4 linked regions of the Schizosaccharomyces pombe genome follow. The gene in region 1 interacts genetically with each later gene. Each region holds a gene or a part of one and is shown in the gene's direction. Other genes may lie near its edges. The genes, in order: pfd3, dsk1, alp31 and air1.

What was found.
Region 2: mutations in pfd3 (region 1) and dsk1 together harm fitness more than expected from each alone (negative genetic interaction), as found in Schizosaccharomyces pombe (2 studies listed by BioGRID).
Region 3: mutations in pfd3 (region 1) and alp31 together harm fitness more than expected from each alone (negative genetic interaction), as found in Schizosaccharomyces pombe (2 studies listed by BioGRID).
Region 4: mutations in pfd3 (region 1) and air1 together harm fitness more than expected from each alone (negative genetic interaction), as found in Schizosaccharomyces pombe (2 studies listed by BioGRID).

What each region holds. Positions count from the first base shown.
Region 1 is NC_003424.3:600,311-603,568, reverse strand, and holds pfd3 (prefoldin subunit Pfd3), read left to right. Parts: upstream 1-2,050; 5' UTR 2,051-2,083; coding exon 2,084-2,094; exon of another isoform or gene 2,095-2,143; coding exon 2,144-2,242; intron 2,243-2,286; coding exon 2,287-2,686; 3' UTR 2,687-2,743; downstream 2,744-3,258. Other genes in the region: SPOM_SPAC3H8.08C (transcription factor), read left to right, coding at 1-1,509.
Region 2 is NC_003423.3:824,298-829,650, reverse strand, and holds dsk1 (SR protein-specific kinase Dsk1), read left to right. Parts: upstream 1-1,718; 5' UTR 1,719-1,837; coding exon 1,838-3,472; 3' UTR 3,473-3,903; coding exon of another isoform or gene 3,904-4,406; 3' UTR 4,407-4,462; coding exon of another isoform or gene 4,463-4,586; 3' UTR 4,587-4,651; coding exon of another isoform or gene 4,652-4,777; 3' UTR 4,778-4,846; downstream 4,847-5,353. Other genes in the region: SPOM_SPBC530.15C (spermidine family transporter), read left to right, coding at 1-560; lsc1 (Lsk1 associated cyclin), read right to left, coding at 3,904-4,406, 4,463-4,586, 4,652-4,777, 4,991-5,072, 5,117-5,277. UniProt on the Schizosaccharomyces pombe protein: May play an important role in mitotic control by altering cellular location, degree of phosphorylation and kinase activity. Abundant expression accelerates the exit when cells are in M-phase and also delays the entry into mitosis when cells are in G2.
Region 3 is NC_003424.3:3,375,199-3,378,590, forward strand, and holds alp31 (tubulin-specific chaperone cofactor A Alp31), read left to right. Parts: upstream 1-1,907; 5' UTR 1,908-1,949; coding exon 1,950-2,018; intron 2,019-2,081; coding exon 2,082-2,168; intron 2,169-2,320; coding exon 2,321-2,524; 3' UTR 2,525-2,702; coding exon of another isoform or gene 2,703-2,760; 3' UTR 2,761-2,805; coding exon of another isoform or gene 2,806-2,823; 3' UTR 2,824-2,870; downstream 2,871-3,392. Other genes in the region: SPOM_SPAC8E11.08C (uncharacterized protein), read left to right, coding at 318-620; SPOM_SPAC8E11.06 (uncharacterized protein), read right to left, coding at 2,703-2,760, 2,806-2,823, 2,871-2,896; SPOM_SPAC8E11.05C (uncharacterized protein), read left to right, coding at 3,074-3,392. UniProt on the Schizosaccharomyces pombe protein: Required for the maintenance of microtubule structures and cell polarity. Beta-tubulin-folding protein; may have a regulatory role in the tubulin-folding pathway.
Region 4 is NC_003423.3:978,850-982,558, reverse strand, and holds air1 (TRAMP complex zinc knuckle subunit Air1), read left to right. Parts: upstream 1-1,790; 5' UTR 1,791-1,978; coding exon 1,979-2,200; intron 2,201-2,249; coding exon 2,250-2,351; intron 2,352-2,406; coding exon 2,407-3,030; 3' UTR 3,031-3,201; downstream 3,202-3,709. Other genes in the region: SHREC complex ATP-dependent chromatin remodeller Mit1, read right to left, coding at 1-491; U1 snRNP-associated protein Usp103, read right to left, coding at 666-988, 1,048-1,263, 1,310-1,319; ilv1 (acetolactate synthase catalytic subunit), read right to left, coding at 3,441-3,709. UniProt on the Schizosaccharomyces pombe protein: Component of the TRAMP (TRF4) and TRAMP5 complexes which have a poly(A) RNA polymerase activity and are involved in a post-transcriptional quality control mechanism limiting inappropriate expression of genetic information.

The sequences.
Region 1 (3,258 bases):
AGTCATAGCGAAAATGCTTCTGATTCTGAAACCACACTGGAAGTTTCTCCCGATATTAATCCGAAAAAAAATGAGAAATTTGATTTTTATGGATGGAGATCACTCTTTGAGTTGATTAAATATAGAAAGGATAGCGACATGTGCTCATCTCGACCTTCGTTTTCAATTCAGGCTTACAGTAGCTATAAAGATAATGTGGTTGTTGAGAGTTTGGCGAACCTTTTACCGCCATTTTGCATATCACAGAAAATTGTTAATTTATTTTTTAAAACACTAAATGTTGTCTGTCCTATTTATGATCAAGAGACAGTAGAAAAAAGCTTAAACAACATTGAATCACCAGAATCTTTTTCGTACGAAGATGCCTTCACTTTATTACCAATTATTGCTGCAACTATCCAGCTGAGCGATTTGCCTGATGTTATTCTCAATTTTTATAATTCGGCGGGGATTACTCCATTGGAATCCAGCCGTCTTATAAATTTAAAACTTAACGAGATATCCGAGCAGGAATATAAACATTTATGCTTGCCTGATAAAGAAATAATTCAGATGCTGCTTTTGCGAGCGTATGCAACAAAATTTCGCACAAGAATAAGAGGAGTGAATACTGACTTATGTAGAAGCATTCACGTATCAACCTTAGTAACTCCCCTCTTCCAAGTTACGGAAAAAATAGGAAAAAATACGTCAGATTTGTGGTTTGCTCTCTGTGAAATTGATGGTTTGGAATGTGTATTAAAGTACCGTCCGCCATTCATTCAACACGACACTTATGGTCGTCTCAAGCCGCTTCGTTGTTTTTTTAATGACGATATTAGCTACAATTTTCATCTACTTCTTGGAAGGTTACTTGATTGTGGTGTTTCAATCTATAAATCTGTTCATTCACTCACCGTTAGTAAATTCATTGATAAACTGGAGAGTTATGAATCACAGCTTTCGCTTATTTTGGTAGATATAGAAGCAAAGTTTTATGACCCTTCTAATGAAGATATTCAATTTCGATACATATTTTTGAAAATGGTGTTCTGGACTGCACGTGTGAATTTGTATCAATGTTTTATTACCCTGGATTCAGGGATTTTAGAAGATGAAGAAACTATTATTGGTAATTTGGGTGAAAGTTGTATTCAGTGCGTGAGGCTACTCATATCTCAAATCACTATATTAGAAAAACGAGGCTGGCTTTTGGTAGCGTTGTTGGAGATTATCCACGCCCTCATGTTGGCTGCGTTTTGCCGTGATAAAGGCTTTGAGGTGCCTTCTGACTTAGGTGACATAACATTATATGTACAAGAAAGAATGGTTGATATCGTAACATTTGATGATGGCATGGCTGTCCGATTTGGATATGTTTTAAGATTCATCAACAGTATGTTACACCCAAATGAACCGCCTATGCAAGATGCAGAACCTGAAACCACGGAGGATCCCTCTAAATTATTCGCTGACATTTTTGATTTTACTTCAAATTACTTTATACCGTCCGCCCTTCTTGATCAGTGACCTAAACGAGCACTTTGTAATTTTTTTGTTTGTATGATTGATTAAATTTCGATTAATGTTCCAAAGTGGTTCTAATGTCAAATTTATCTGCTCTTTTAATGACTCTCGTTTTTTAATGTAACTATTTTTGGTTCAATATAGACCATTTAGGAATTAACTTTCTTACTATCCTTCTATAAAGTTGTCTTTCAAATACAATTTTTTCAACAAAACTGCCTTTTCCAAACAGAATATGTTTAACTAAAATATGTGATTTCAAGTAATTAAAAAACGTTTAAAAAGTTTAGTGATATAAAACTCTCGCTAGTACTTTCAAATGAAAATGCATTACGCTGCGCAATGGTTCTATACAGGTTATGGTTGGTAAATTGGATGAATAGATTTTGCAACAATTATCAATTACATGTGTATAACCAAAATATTCTGCCTATTTAGACTGTGTAGTTCAGACTTGGTTAGATTTGGTAATTAGGGAATAATACGCATTTCCAAATTTGTAACATTACTATACCTATTACCTTTGACACTCAGTTACCTGTTCAAAACAACCGCCCCTTTTTCTGTTGCATAGAGAATGAGTTCTTCGTATGTACTGAAGTATAATACTTTTTAAAAAAATAACTAATATGAATAGAAATCCACGGGGAATTCCACCCGCTCAATTTTTTGAGTTCAAAGAGTTATCTATGGAGGAAGCTCAAGGTCATCTCGAAAAGTTCCAAGAAGCAATTGCGTAAGGATATATATGTTATTTCATATTAATATAATGTAATTTAGAAAGTACAAATTCATGGAGACTAGTGTGGTCAGGAGAGTTGCTAGTTTGGATGACAAAATTCCTGACATTCGAAAAACGTTACAGAGTGTTCAGTTCTTGAAAGAGCGACAAGGTGACTCTTTTACTGTTACATATGAACTAAATGACACATTAAATGCAAAAGCAGAAGTAGAAGCTAAAGACAATGTCTACCTTTGGTTAGGTGCAAATGTTATGCTTGAGTATACGGTTGAAGAGGCAGAAGCATTGTTAACGCAGAAGCTGAACTCAGCGGAAGAAACATTGAAAGCATGTAAAGAAGATTTGGAATTTTTGAGAGCTCAAGTCACTACAATGGAAGTGAATACAGCTCGCGTGTATAACTATACAGTTTTGCTTAGGAAAAAAACAAAAATGTAGTTAGTCAAAGCTGCTTAATTTCTTTATAAATGTTTCCAAAATATATTATCATTTTAACACATTTGCTTATCCTTAATGTCTCTTTAGTGTGTGTAACAAATGATAGAAAAAACTATATTATTATAACAATATTCTTATTTTAGAAACGTATAACCAACATTTGTATAAAAACGCTTTACAGAATAAAAAAGGATTACATTAATGCTCCGTTCTGGATTTTCGTGCAAACAAGCAATAAACTAAATGAATAAAACAAGCCTTCTCACACACATTTCAAACCAAATTTAAAATTATGTCAAACGATTTAAATCACAACAAATAAGGAAAATGAAATTCTAAATGTGTTCCTTTCACAACAGTTGACAGTGTAAGAAGCTGGATAAAAGAGTTCTTTATTAACGGAAATGATAAAAAAACGACAAATACCTATACATCACACTGGAAGATACCCGGCCTAATCGCTGTTAAGAGTTTCGAAAAGGAAGTGGAGACCAAAAGCGGTATTAATACCAAAATAGCTTCCTTCAAAATTAGTGATACAAATTAATTTTACAAATTGTAAAGAATGACTC
Region 2 (5,353 bases), on another chromosome or scaffold:
TTATTTTTGGGGAGAGTCGAAAATGGAGGTTGGGTGTTGAATCTCTTCCGTATTTGGCTATTTTTGTTGGTGTTTGTATTGGATGCTCTAGCGTTGCCCTGTTCCAGCCCTACTATTTTAAAAAGATGGATGAAAATAAAGGAAGACCTGTTCCTGAAGCACGACTTCCCTCCATGATGATCGGTTGCATTGTCTTTCCCATTGGCATCTTTTGGCTTGCTTGGACTGGTAATTATCCATGGATTCATTGGATTGTTCCAACTTTGGCAGGTAGTTTTATTGGCTTTGGAATCATTACAATTTTTCAACAAACAATCAATTATATCATTGATTGTTATAGTGGATGTTCTGCTTCTGCAATCGCGGCCAATACATTACTTAGAAGTTCGTTTGGCGCGGCATTTCCTCTTTTTACAACCCAAATGTTCAATAATTTGGGAATTGGTTGGGCTGGTTCTCTGGTCGGATTTGTTGCAGTTGGGCTTATTCCAGTTCCTTTTATGTTGTTTTTATATGGGCCGAAATTACGACAAATGAGCAAGCACTGTCTAAAGGATTAATTCGTCATAGAAGTCCGCTTTTTAGTTGATTTGCTTGACCCTCTCTTTTCCAGTTTTTGTTTTTCTTATTTCTGTTATATTCATCTTTTTTATTCAGAAACCATGCCCGCGGTTTGTTGCCTTGGGTTAATGGCCTCAGCATTTACTTGTTGTTATTGTTATTTTCGTTAATTTAACCAGTTTGCTGCCGTTTAGATATTTAGAAACGATGGACTTTGTTTTAAATGATCTCTATTACCCGCTGCCTCTTTCTTTTGTCTTTTTGTGACTTCTTTAATAATTCATCATCCTCAATGATTACTTTTGTTGATCTCCGTTTCCTTTATGTTTCTGATCATCACAAAAAAAGTACCTTTCAAATAGACATTTATATTTATTGGTTGGTTATGAACCTTACATATGATTTCCGTTTACCATAATACATTGCTAAGACCTCAACAAAAATAACTGTTAGCACAGGCCATACTTGTCAATTTATTATATCCCGTTTTTATCAATGTAATTGAATGTTTTCGAGTCCAGGTCTTGCCCGTAGAATCACGGTTAGTGTGAGTAGGTAGTAGATCTCGGGCCGTAGGTGTGAATGCCGTAAAGCTAGAACATTATCTGAGAATTTTCATTTTAAGAACGCCGTATGTTGAGAGAGAAAACAGATCTTAAATATCCCTCTTTTCAACGACTCAAGAATTGTTTACATTTTTTCTAGCTATCCTGTCGAGATCTAAGAGCTGAATGGGATACAGTTATAATGGATAACGATATAAATTTGGAAGACCTTAACACATCTTATGGAATTCTAACGGCTGGGCTACTTCGGTAAAAGTAGTTAGTAAGGGATAGCGATGGGATGAAAGCGCAGGGGGTTCATATTCTATCAACTGCTGATATTTTTAGTGATGCCTTAGTCATTGGTATTCATATATACGGATTTTTAAGTAGTATTATTAAAATATTTATGGTACAGTAACGGAGTGTAAAGGTGGCTTCTCCTACTGGCGTAAAATAATTAGTAAACCATTTTCCCATTTTTTGTTATTTACTATATCGAAACGCTCTTCCTAATGCGCAAAGTTTCCTCGGTAGTGTGCTAAGACTCCACGGTGTTTCCCCGTGTTGATTTTCGCACTAAAAATACTACTCCATACCGTATTTATAACCAGAACAAACAACAACAACAACGAAGGAATTGGTGTATTCACATATCTCAGATATTTTAATTTAAGAGCTGGAGGGACATATCAGTAGTTTCTTCATACGGGGCAGCCAGCCATTTTGAAATGGGAAGTGACGGGTCGAGTTTGTCACCGAAAGTGTCACAACCGGGACACACTGAAATAGTTGACCATGTCAGTGAAAAGGTGATCACGAATGGAAAAAATGTTAATAAAAAGGTCAATGCTGAAGTAGACGGAAAAAGCATGGTGGAAAAGGTAAAAACGCACGAAGAAAATGCAGAGGACTATCACTATGGTGGATACCACCCAGTCTACATTGGTGAAGAATTTCATCACCGTCGATATGTCGTTGAAAGAAAATTAGGCTGGGGACATTTTTCAACGGTTTGGCTTGCATATGATCGAGCTGCCAAACGGAGAGTAGCTTTGAAGGTGGTGCGTTCAGCAGAGCACTATCGAGAGACCTCAATTGATGAAATTCGCATTTTGCAGAAAATTAGAGAAGGGGACGAAAAGCATTTGGGCAAAAAGCATATCATTTCTTTGCTCGATTATTTTGTGCATCGTGGTCCTAATGGAGCTCATGTCTGTATGGTATTCGAAGTTCTCGGTGAGAATCTTTTAAGTTTGATACAGTCATACGGCCATCGAGGAGTACCTGTGGGTATTGTAAAGCAAATTGCCTACCAATTACTCATCGCTCTGGATTACTTGCATCGAGAATGCGGGATCATTCATACTGATCTTAAACCCGAAAATGTTTTAATATGCATTGATCAGGATGCCTTGCAACATATTGAGGCACCTGCAACAACTTCCTCCCCCACTTCTAATACCTCTTCTTCAAAAACAAGAAATAACACTGGTTATACAGCCAAAGCTCCAATTATTAAACGTGGCCAATCTGTAGATAACTCTGCCCAAGAACGCAAGACATTTGCAAAAAATCCAACTAAGAATTCTAAGCCTGCTGGCCAGGTCATTCCTAGCAGTCCTTTTACTTCCACTTTGAGCCGCTTTCCTTCATTAGAAGGTGCTGTTTCAGAAATCAGCCTTCGTGACTCTCAAAAGCATAATTCTCATCCTAATTCTCCGTTTTCTAGTGGAGATAATTCTCTTATACTTGATGGTGTTAACGGTTCTCAGGAACCCGTTCCAAAAATCACTGTTAAAATTGCCGATCTCGGTAACGCGTGCTGGACACGGAAGCATTTCACCAACGATGTGCAAACCCGTCAGTATAGGTCTCCAGAAGTAATTCTAGGATGTCGCTGGGGAGCTTCCGCTGATTGCTGGAGTTTTGCCTGTATCATTTTTGAATTGCTAACCGGCGATTACCTTTTCGATCCACGGAATGGGAATTCTTATTCTAAGGAGGATGACCACATTGCCCAAATTATTGAGTTATTGGTTAATTATCCTAAGCAAATGGCACTTTCAGGAAAGCACTCCCGCGATTTATTTAACCGTCGCGGTGAACTCCGAAATATTCATAAATTGAAGTTTTGGCCTTTAAAAGATGTTTTGGAGCAAAAATACCATTTTTCAGCCGAGTTGGCTCAACAAATATCAGACTTTTTATCTCCTATGTTATGTTTTGATCCTGCCAAGCGAACCAATGCTGGTTACATGAGCAATTCTCCATGGTTGCGCGAAGTGGCTGATCCTACGTTCAAAATCGAGACTACTGGAGCAACCGGTGAAGATGTACCCGGATGGGCTACTGAAATTCGTTAGTGTTTACCTTGATATTGGTTTTGAAGCGCTAGTAAATGATTTTTTTTTATATATAGTTTTTTTTTGCGATATCGTCCCTTTTTTAATTTCCCACCATTAGCGTGATTGCTTTAAAAAAGCATGACACCTTTCACTCTGAAATGGGTTACGTATGATTATCACGATTCCTTCTTTTGATCAACATTTACTGCACTGAAATTTGAACGAAATTTCCTTTTACTTAATGAATATTTAAGATATAGCAGGGTTTAGGTCAGCTGCTTTTTAAATCATATTATGTTTAGAAAACGCATAAAATAAAGTTTTGTCATTCAAAAGGAAGTTAATTGGAAATTGGTAACTTGTAATGTCACATATTAATATACTGTTCAGAATGCTGTCGAAAGAAGGAACAAACCGATGGTAAGATAACTCATTAAGGAACCATTAGATTAAACCGTACCTTTATTTCTCCTTTCTTCCAGCATTCGTTTTTCAAATTCGGTATTAAAATACTTTCTATCGCAGTCTAAAATAAATCTGGCACAACTTTCTTTGGATTCTTGAAGTCTCTTATTTGACTCACGGTATTCATCTGCTAAAGAAGAAGAATGAGGGTCAATTTGGGGTGGTTTTTGAGGACGGCCAGAGTTTTTTTGGGCTCGTTGGAAGTCAACACATAATCCAAGTAATTTTTCCGTTGTATACATATTACCAATGCAAGTGTGAGGCTGATAATGCATATATAGATCGAGTATATCCGCAATCACTGCTTCCGTTAGTGCTGGTGGAGCGAAGAACGATCTGGGAATTATAGGTTGAGGAAGTTGCTGTAACTTGCAAGCAATAGAAATCGATGCGACGGCAACAATATGGGCTGGATATTTTAACATTGTGTATGTTTTATAAGCATCAGTGCAGACATTCCAAGCTATACTTGCCGTGGAAGATGAAACTGAAAGTAAATTAGTTAACTCGAAAATTATAAGGTAAAATGAATAGCAGTCATACATTTCAGTGATTTTGCAAATTTTACCATGTAATTGTGTGGATGTCGGACTCGAAAATCGAAACAAATCAATTCCAGTGTCATTCTTTCTAAACCTAGAATCCTCTTCTTGTTCTCTTCGATTAGCTAATACACCTGTAAGCAAGTCTCCTTATAAACAAAAAACAATTATTGCGCACCTTGTAACATACTTGTGAATGAGCATCGACCTCAGAACCTGGATGCTTTTGAAGATAATGTGCTAAAAGAATATCACGAAACTTTTTGGCCGTATCTTCGATTTTACTAGCAACTACTAAGCAAGCAGTAGCGCACTCCTAAATGTGTTAGTTATTTTTGAAAGAAAAAGAGCCTAAATCAAGAGAATATGATGTTTATAACTTGGAGTAGCTGAGCTAACATTATTAAAAACTGTAGTCTTTTTTAATAGTATGACCAATGTACAGCATTCAGAATATTCTTATATCAGAATACGTAAAATTTCAAATAGCACAGCATACTCATGTGCGAAAGACATCCAAATAACATACCAGCAAAGGAATTTCATTCACGGGAAAAAATAGTTGGAAACGACTGTATAAAAGCATTGCAAGGCCGCTGGTCCTTACAGGGCTAAAAAAAAGTTAGATTCTAGATAATTTTGAGGAAAAGCATACAATTTTAAAGTTTTTGAAAGTGTTGATATCCAAGCGAACGCCTGCATTCGCAAATTATTTTCTTTGGGATCTCGCGTCGACAAAATTCGACTTATTTCTTTTTCTGAATAGTATGGGTGTGACATTCGTATTGAAAGTACATGATTCTCATTTTCTGCCATTTTAGCAGCTAAAATGGTGCTGGGTTTGTGAAGGCCTGGCTTTACCTGCAAGGTGCAAGTATGCTGAAGTTAAGCG
Region 3 (3,392 bases), 2.8 Mb from region 1:
AAAAAAGAACACCAGATTCTCCTGTCACGCATCTAGGTTTCCAGTTTTTCATCTGTTCCCTCATTAACGTTCTACCAGTTGCCCGCATTGTTCCAGAAGATCAACCCAAATCTGAACGAGATGCAATAGCCTGGAGACTACCAGAGTCTTCATTTTACCCGACCGAGATCGTTTCCATGGTCGGAATCGAACACTGGAATACTTGAGACTTGGCGAAAAATGAGTATTATACAAGGGAAGAAAAGAAGAAGAAAATAAAAGGATAATTTATGTTTTACGGCAATAAAATAATGAATTAATAAGCAAGAAGTATTAAAATGGACTTTACCACTAATGAGGTTCTGTTTAGTAGGTTAGTAGTCTGTAAAAATTTGACAAGAAAAAATTTTCCGTTTCTTCAATTGAAGGGGAGCTCCATTTTAAGATTTGAATGGTCTGAAGAAATGTATAGATTGTATATATGGTTGTTACCGTACCGAAAAGACTATAATGAAAAGTTTAAGGGAATTCTAATAAATCCTTCTATTTTTCTTCTTGGCTGTCATCATGTTCAAATATGCAGTTTTCCGAACAACCTTGTATTTTTCATGGGAAAATGCGATTTGTTTCGTTTTTGTTAGCTTTGTTTGAATACCATTTTTTAACTTATGCGATACTTTCTAAACGGAGTTCACTTTTTAAATTAATCTATATCAACTGAGCCGTTCAATTCAATCCCTTTTTTTATATCAGCTTGTAAACAAACGTTTCAGGAAATGAGAAAGTTCAAAAAGCGTTAAACAGTGAATGCTTGTATGTTGAGCTTTGACTTGTTTGCAAATGTTTAATTGTCGAAATTCATCATCTGTATCTGTCCAAAGTTGTGAACTGACAAGATAGAGATTAATTTGTTAGATCACGCAAAGTACGATATGTTTAAAATGCTTATACCAGGTTGCAGTCTTTGTTTTTCATAGCTTTGCAAAAAAAAAAGTGGATTAAAATACTAATGACTACTAGGGTTCGAAAGGTTGCTGTTCGATTATGAAAAAGCGTTCACTCTTTTATCTCCCAAGCGATGATTTGAATTTTTGATGCATCTGTGGCGTAGAATATGATCAATCATTTTAGAAAACAGAATAATATTCAAGGATCCATTTAAAGTCCTATATAGAGTAAAGGATTTTAGCTATTATCCTCACATTGAAGACTGGTCCCATTATACCGAAGTCTGTTGACATTAATATCGTTGTACCGGCTTTTTGAGTAGACTAAATATCTTGTACAGGATCTACTTTGAAAGAGGGTATTAGGTCCTTTTTTTATTTTTTGTTTTCCAAGGATTAAGATAGAAGCTGAATTTTTTTGGCTAGGCAAAGTTGACTAATTATTAACAGACTGTGGTTCGAGTGATTAGCAATCAACCTATCCTTATATGAAATCGTGCTTTTAACAATTTCGGTTGTTGGGAGATAACTGTGTGTACGGAGAATCAGAAATTTTTGTTTTGGAAAATATTTGTAAAAGCAATTACGTCTAAATATAATGAATTACGCGCTAGAAAATTTTCATATAGCTGAATCCCGAAAAGCTCAACCTCCCATATGATTGAGCATCCATAAAAGCATGAAATTTTTGGTACAAGTATCGGTGAATCGTAAATTTAGAAATAACTGAGCAATTTTATCTCATACATAATATAGGAATGAAACGTTTGTCGATCAATAACTAGTCTGATACTTGATGCAAACATTTAATCAAATACCCTTTTTTAGGAATTTAAGGAAAGGGCTTTAAAAGAAATTGAAAACTTAACTAGAACTAGCTTTTCTTAATCGTTTCTCGTAACTTATCACCACACGCTAACATTAGCATTCCTTTGTATTCCAACGTTACCTACACTGCAGTCAAGGAAAATCATCCAACCTAACATTATTCCTTTGCATATCGCGTCCATTTTATTTTCTACCATGTCAAATACTGTTAGGAGCTTAGTCATCAAAACTAATGTCGTTAAAAGAATTATTAAAGATGTAGAAGTAAGTTTCCTTTTTGGATCGCGATTTTGTAGATGGAATTTTCTGACCTCAACAATTGTTTAGTTGGCTCATATCGATATTAACGAGGCCGAGAAACGTGTACAAAGTAAAATTGATAATGGGGAAGATTCTGCAGAAATTGAGCATCAGGTATGTTGCATTAGTTGAAACCATATAAACGTTGGACGTGTTGTGCTAGAAGATGTTTCTACCAAGCTGAAGATACTTTTCGGTGGTTTCCGCTTTAGCGTATCTTTTTTAAAATAAAAAATAATCAAAGTACTGACATTCTGGACCTCTAGAAATTTGTTTTGAAGAAGCATCTTGAGGCGTTGCCAGATGCTCTTGTACGTCTTCGTAATGCGACGAACGACTTGGAATCCATTTCTTCTGACAGTGCATACGAAGGAACTCCTGAACTTGAACAAGCAAATGAATATTTAGAAAAAGCAAAAGAAGTAATTGAAAAAGAGCAAACGAATTTCCCCACGAATGGGTACCACTGAATACACATTTACTAGCTTTTGTAGATCCCTGCTAAAATTTATTACTGACCCTTCAAAAGACGATCATGAAAAGGTTCTACGTTCATCATTCTTTACCCACCCTTTCAATGCTATCCTACTCAACTGTACTGTGTCTTCGATTTTTATTCCAATCCATTAAAATAATAGACAATCCCAACTACTTAAGGATTATCCAAGTCATGCTTAAATCTTTTTTAAGATTTCGCCAATCTATTCTAATTTTGCCAGTTAGGTGAAACTGTTCACATAAAAAAACATACGTATTCCCCTTTATTCTACTAGAGATTTAAATTTTAGCTGGACAATCAAACAATTTTAAAACAACCAAATGTTCCTGCTAACAAGCAGCATAGACAGTCGTCCTCTAGTATTTATTTGCACTTTTATTGTGAGTGTAATGTAGCGTATCACTATGTTAGATTGTACAGCTCATTGTTTGACGTTACTTACCATCTGAGCAAAGAGAAAGAAACACTTCGCGTGAACATTAAACAGATTGGGAGCATAAAACGTTCCATTTGTATACCTATGGCAAGTCCGCCAATATTATCAAGGGAATCACCTGTGTTGGGTTTAGAAGAAGAGAAGAAATCTGACGGCGGCAACTCTGAAGTAAATATTGACCCTTCTGCATCTTCATCGTTGAAGGAAGATGTAGATGGCGAAGAGGGAGCTGATACAAAAATAGATCCACACCTTCTTGAAGAAGATGATTTAAATCCTGTAGAGGATTACGATTCTAAAAACCAAAAAGTCGTTGAAGCATCTAAACTTGACCTTGACGCTACATCAACTGTTTGGGCGGAGAGTCTTAGTATTAATAGAGAAGCTAGTATTTCCCAATCAG
Region 4 (3,709 bases), on another chromosome or scaffold:
GACAACGATAACTCATTATGCTCTTTTCTATTAACCTTCTTATTTGTATCAGATGAAGATGAAGTTGCACTGTCAGAAGCCGTTTCATCACTGACAAATGAAGGATTAAGTGCGCAGTGAAATTCCTTTCCGAACTTAAATTTCTTGGTACGTGTTGAGTCCCTTAAGACTTTACTACCATTAGACTTCAGTAAATAATCATTTTTCTCTTCCTCATCCTTATCGGTTGAAGTCATATACCCATGGTACCTCTTTCGAGATTTGTGTTTTAACCATACTCTTAAACAAGCTTTTCCATTTTTATATTTATCAAGTTCATCTTTTTTTATCAATGCTTCAACACCCGCCAAGAATTTAACACTCAGTGTGCTGTCATTTTCGTGCAGTATTTTTTGAACGGTGGTTTCAGACGCGTCATAATAAGGTAGTAAAACATCAAGCGGTTCACGACGTACTACTATTTTACATAAAGAATCATCTTCTTTTGGCATGCTTTGAGATGAATATCTAAATATTCTTGGTAAATACTGTGTATTTGGAGTTGTCCTTAAATTTCACTACGTAACGCAAAGAGAAAGAATTACCAGTAGTAAACGGTTATAAACAATAGCTATTATACAGTACATTAATAGTAACAAACAAGTTTTAATCTTTTAGATGTCATTTTAAGCACGTACAAACCTTTGATGACTTCTTTGACCCTGATGGTGGGTTTTAGTAAAATGGTTATTAGCATTCGAATGAGTACGCGCGCGTTGATGTTCATTTGTCTGAGGAAGAGATTGCTGCTGTTGTGTAAGTTGAGTGTTAGAAGAAGCTGTAGTCTGGGGAGCTGAAAAAGCTACTTGGTTTGTTAAATTTACAGCAGGCATCATAGGGACGAATGCAGCAGCATTCATAGCATTCATTCCTTTAGGAGCCATATAGGTATTTGCGGATACAATGTAGGGCGGTGGTGGACATCCTAAGTTAAAGACATTATATTTGGCTAAAATTCGGAATATTAGACTTCGTATTCAACAAAAGTATTATAAAGTAATAACTTACGAGGAAACGCATAAGCATAAGGAAGGTCTAGCGAACCATTCCCCTTTTTTAAAAATCCAGAGGATGCCCTTTCTTCAAGTTGTTTTTGGGCTTCTTCTTGAGCTACTTTCGTATAGTAGTCCTGAACATTTTGTATATGGGCTCTTCCAGCATTGTGTGCTTTTCTAACTGATTGGCTATCATGAGTGAGCCAAACTTGGCAGTAATCACACAAATCTAAGCATTAATTAGTTTTCAATTATTGTTATTCATCGTATCATACATCTTGGCATTTTAGCGTGTTTGGCTGTTGTTGAGTCTTGTAATAAATGTGAGCTGTGTTGAAACGCTAAAATGATTTAAAAAGAAATTAATGTCAATTAGCAACAACTATACAAAGAACGTTCATAGTTAAACATTGAATGTTAAATTACTGTTTATCTATGCTTTACAAAGTGTTGAAACGAAGCTCTCGAATTTTCAACTACTTTAAAATCCAACGCCTTGAAGAGTCGGGAAGGTGCAATCATTTAATATTTTAATATAATTAAGTTACTGCTGTACTTTCAATATCTCTTCACGATCAGGGCTTTTAAGTACCAGACATTCTTGGTTATGCATTAAGTGTTGCATTTGAGAGAACAATTGTAATTTGGAGTATAAGTTATTTATTGAATTTCATTTATTGTCATGCTCATTTCAATGAAATAAACTTCTCATGAGAAAGCCAGATATAATCCATGTAAGGTGAATACTCACACCTTAACCAAAAATTTTTTGCCTTTACTGAAACTATTAAATTTCCATTTGATAGTTAAATACTTGAAGTGTTTTATGTTTTATTTGCTTTTAAACTGTTAAATTGATTGGGAATATTGTGAAGTAAACTACTGGCCGGCTGTTAAGTGTTAAAGAAAACTGTGCTTGCCATTATTACATTGCTTGTCAATATATGGACATGACTGTTTCAAACCAAAAAGCAGAAAGTGATGATGGTTCAGACATCGACGATGCGGCCTTGTTACAAAAAATTAATTCTTTACCGATTGACCAGAGTATCACAAATTCGGTGAGCTTGGAAAAGCATGATTTTCAAGGAAGTGATGACCATGACTCCTCTACGGATCTTTCCGATAGTACTTTGGAAGATGTGGAAGGAAGTGAATGGGCAGACGTATGGATTGAAAAGTTTTTTTTTAATACTTTTTACTAATAAAATTTAGGTGAGCAGGGGTAGATACTTCGGGTCAGATCCCTCAGAAAGTATAGTTTGCCATAATTGTAAAGGGAATGGTCACATATCTAAAGATTGTCCTCATGTTCTGGTATGCATTTTGATCGGACATTGTTTTTTTAATAGTGTTACTAACTGTATTACAGTGTACGACTTGTGGAGCAATTGATGATCATATTTCCGTAAGATGCCCCTGGACTAAGAAGTGCATGAATTGTGGACTACTGGGTCATATAGCTGCGCGATGTTCGGAGCCGCGAAAAAGAGGACCTAGAGTTTGTCGGACTTGTCATACCGATACTCATACTAGTTCGACGTGTCCTTTAATTTGGAGGTATTATGTCGAAAAAGAACATCCTGTTCGCATTGATGTTTCTGAGGTTCGAAAGTTTTGTTATAATTGTGCATCTGATGAACATTTTGGAGACGACTGTACTCTTCCATCTAGATCAAATTATCCTGAAAGCACTGCATTTTGTGAAGCGAACTGTCCTTCTGGAAATGATGCATCTAACAAGGAGTTTTTTGAAACCCGTCGTAAAGAGTTTCAATTGGAGAGGCGAGAGCAGAATCGAAATCAAAAATCGTCGAAACAACGGCCTTTTCACAAACCAGGAAATTCTCTAGCATCTAGGCTGGGATCTAAGCCAAAAAGCTTTAAAAGAAAACATAGCCCACCTTCTGAGGAGAATGGCAATTTATCCTTTCATTCTTCAGATGGAAGAAAATTTACCAAAACTTCAAAAAAAAATCGTAAACGAAAATGGTAATTCATGTGCTGGTATTATTCATCGCATGGTGTATCGCTCTGCTCACATTGCATTGCACTCATTGATAATACTATCTTACTAAAATTTATTGGCAAAATCTAAAATATATGTACATTAATTTTATACACTCTCATTTGCTATGTTCGCAAAATTTGTAATGTTATTGACCTCCATCATCAAAATTAAATACAAGCTATGATAACGGAGTAAACCATAGTTAGAAAGCAAAACAAAAAAAAACAACCAAAATCGAAGATAACAAGGCAAAACAAACAAATTTGCTTTAGGGTAAATAATGACAAACCGCCCACCAGAGTCTAAAAGAATGTGACACGATAATTAACGCAAGTTTAAATAAGTGTTACATCTGACTCTTACAAAATAGCTGTTTTTAAATTAATCAAAAAAATTTATGAAAGGCTTTCATGCAAAATAAATTGGTGAAGAGCCTTACCACCAGGGACAAATGGATACACATGTTCCTTTTGGGCAACCAAAACTTCCATAAGCACAGGACCTTTAGTTGACAAAAACTCCTTCATTTTTTTAGCCAAATCTTCTCTCTTTTCTACACGTAGTGCTTTGATGCCCATAGCGTCAGCCAACTTAACGAAGTTGGGATTCTTTTGATGAGTATGAGAATAGCGTTTCTCATAAAACAAGTTTTGCCATTGAGTGA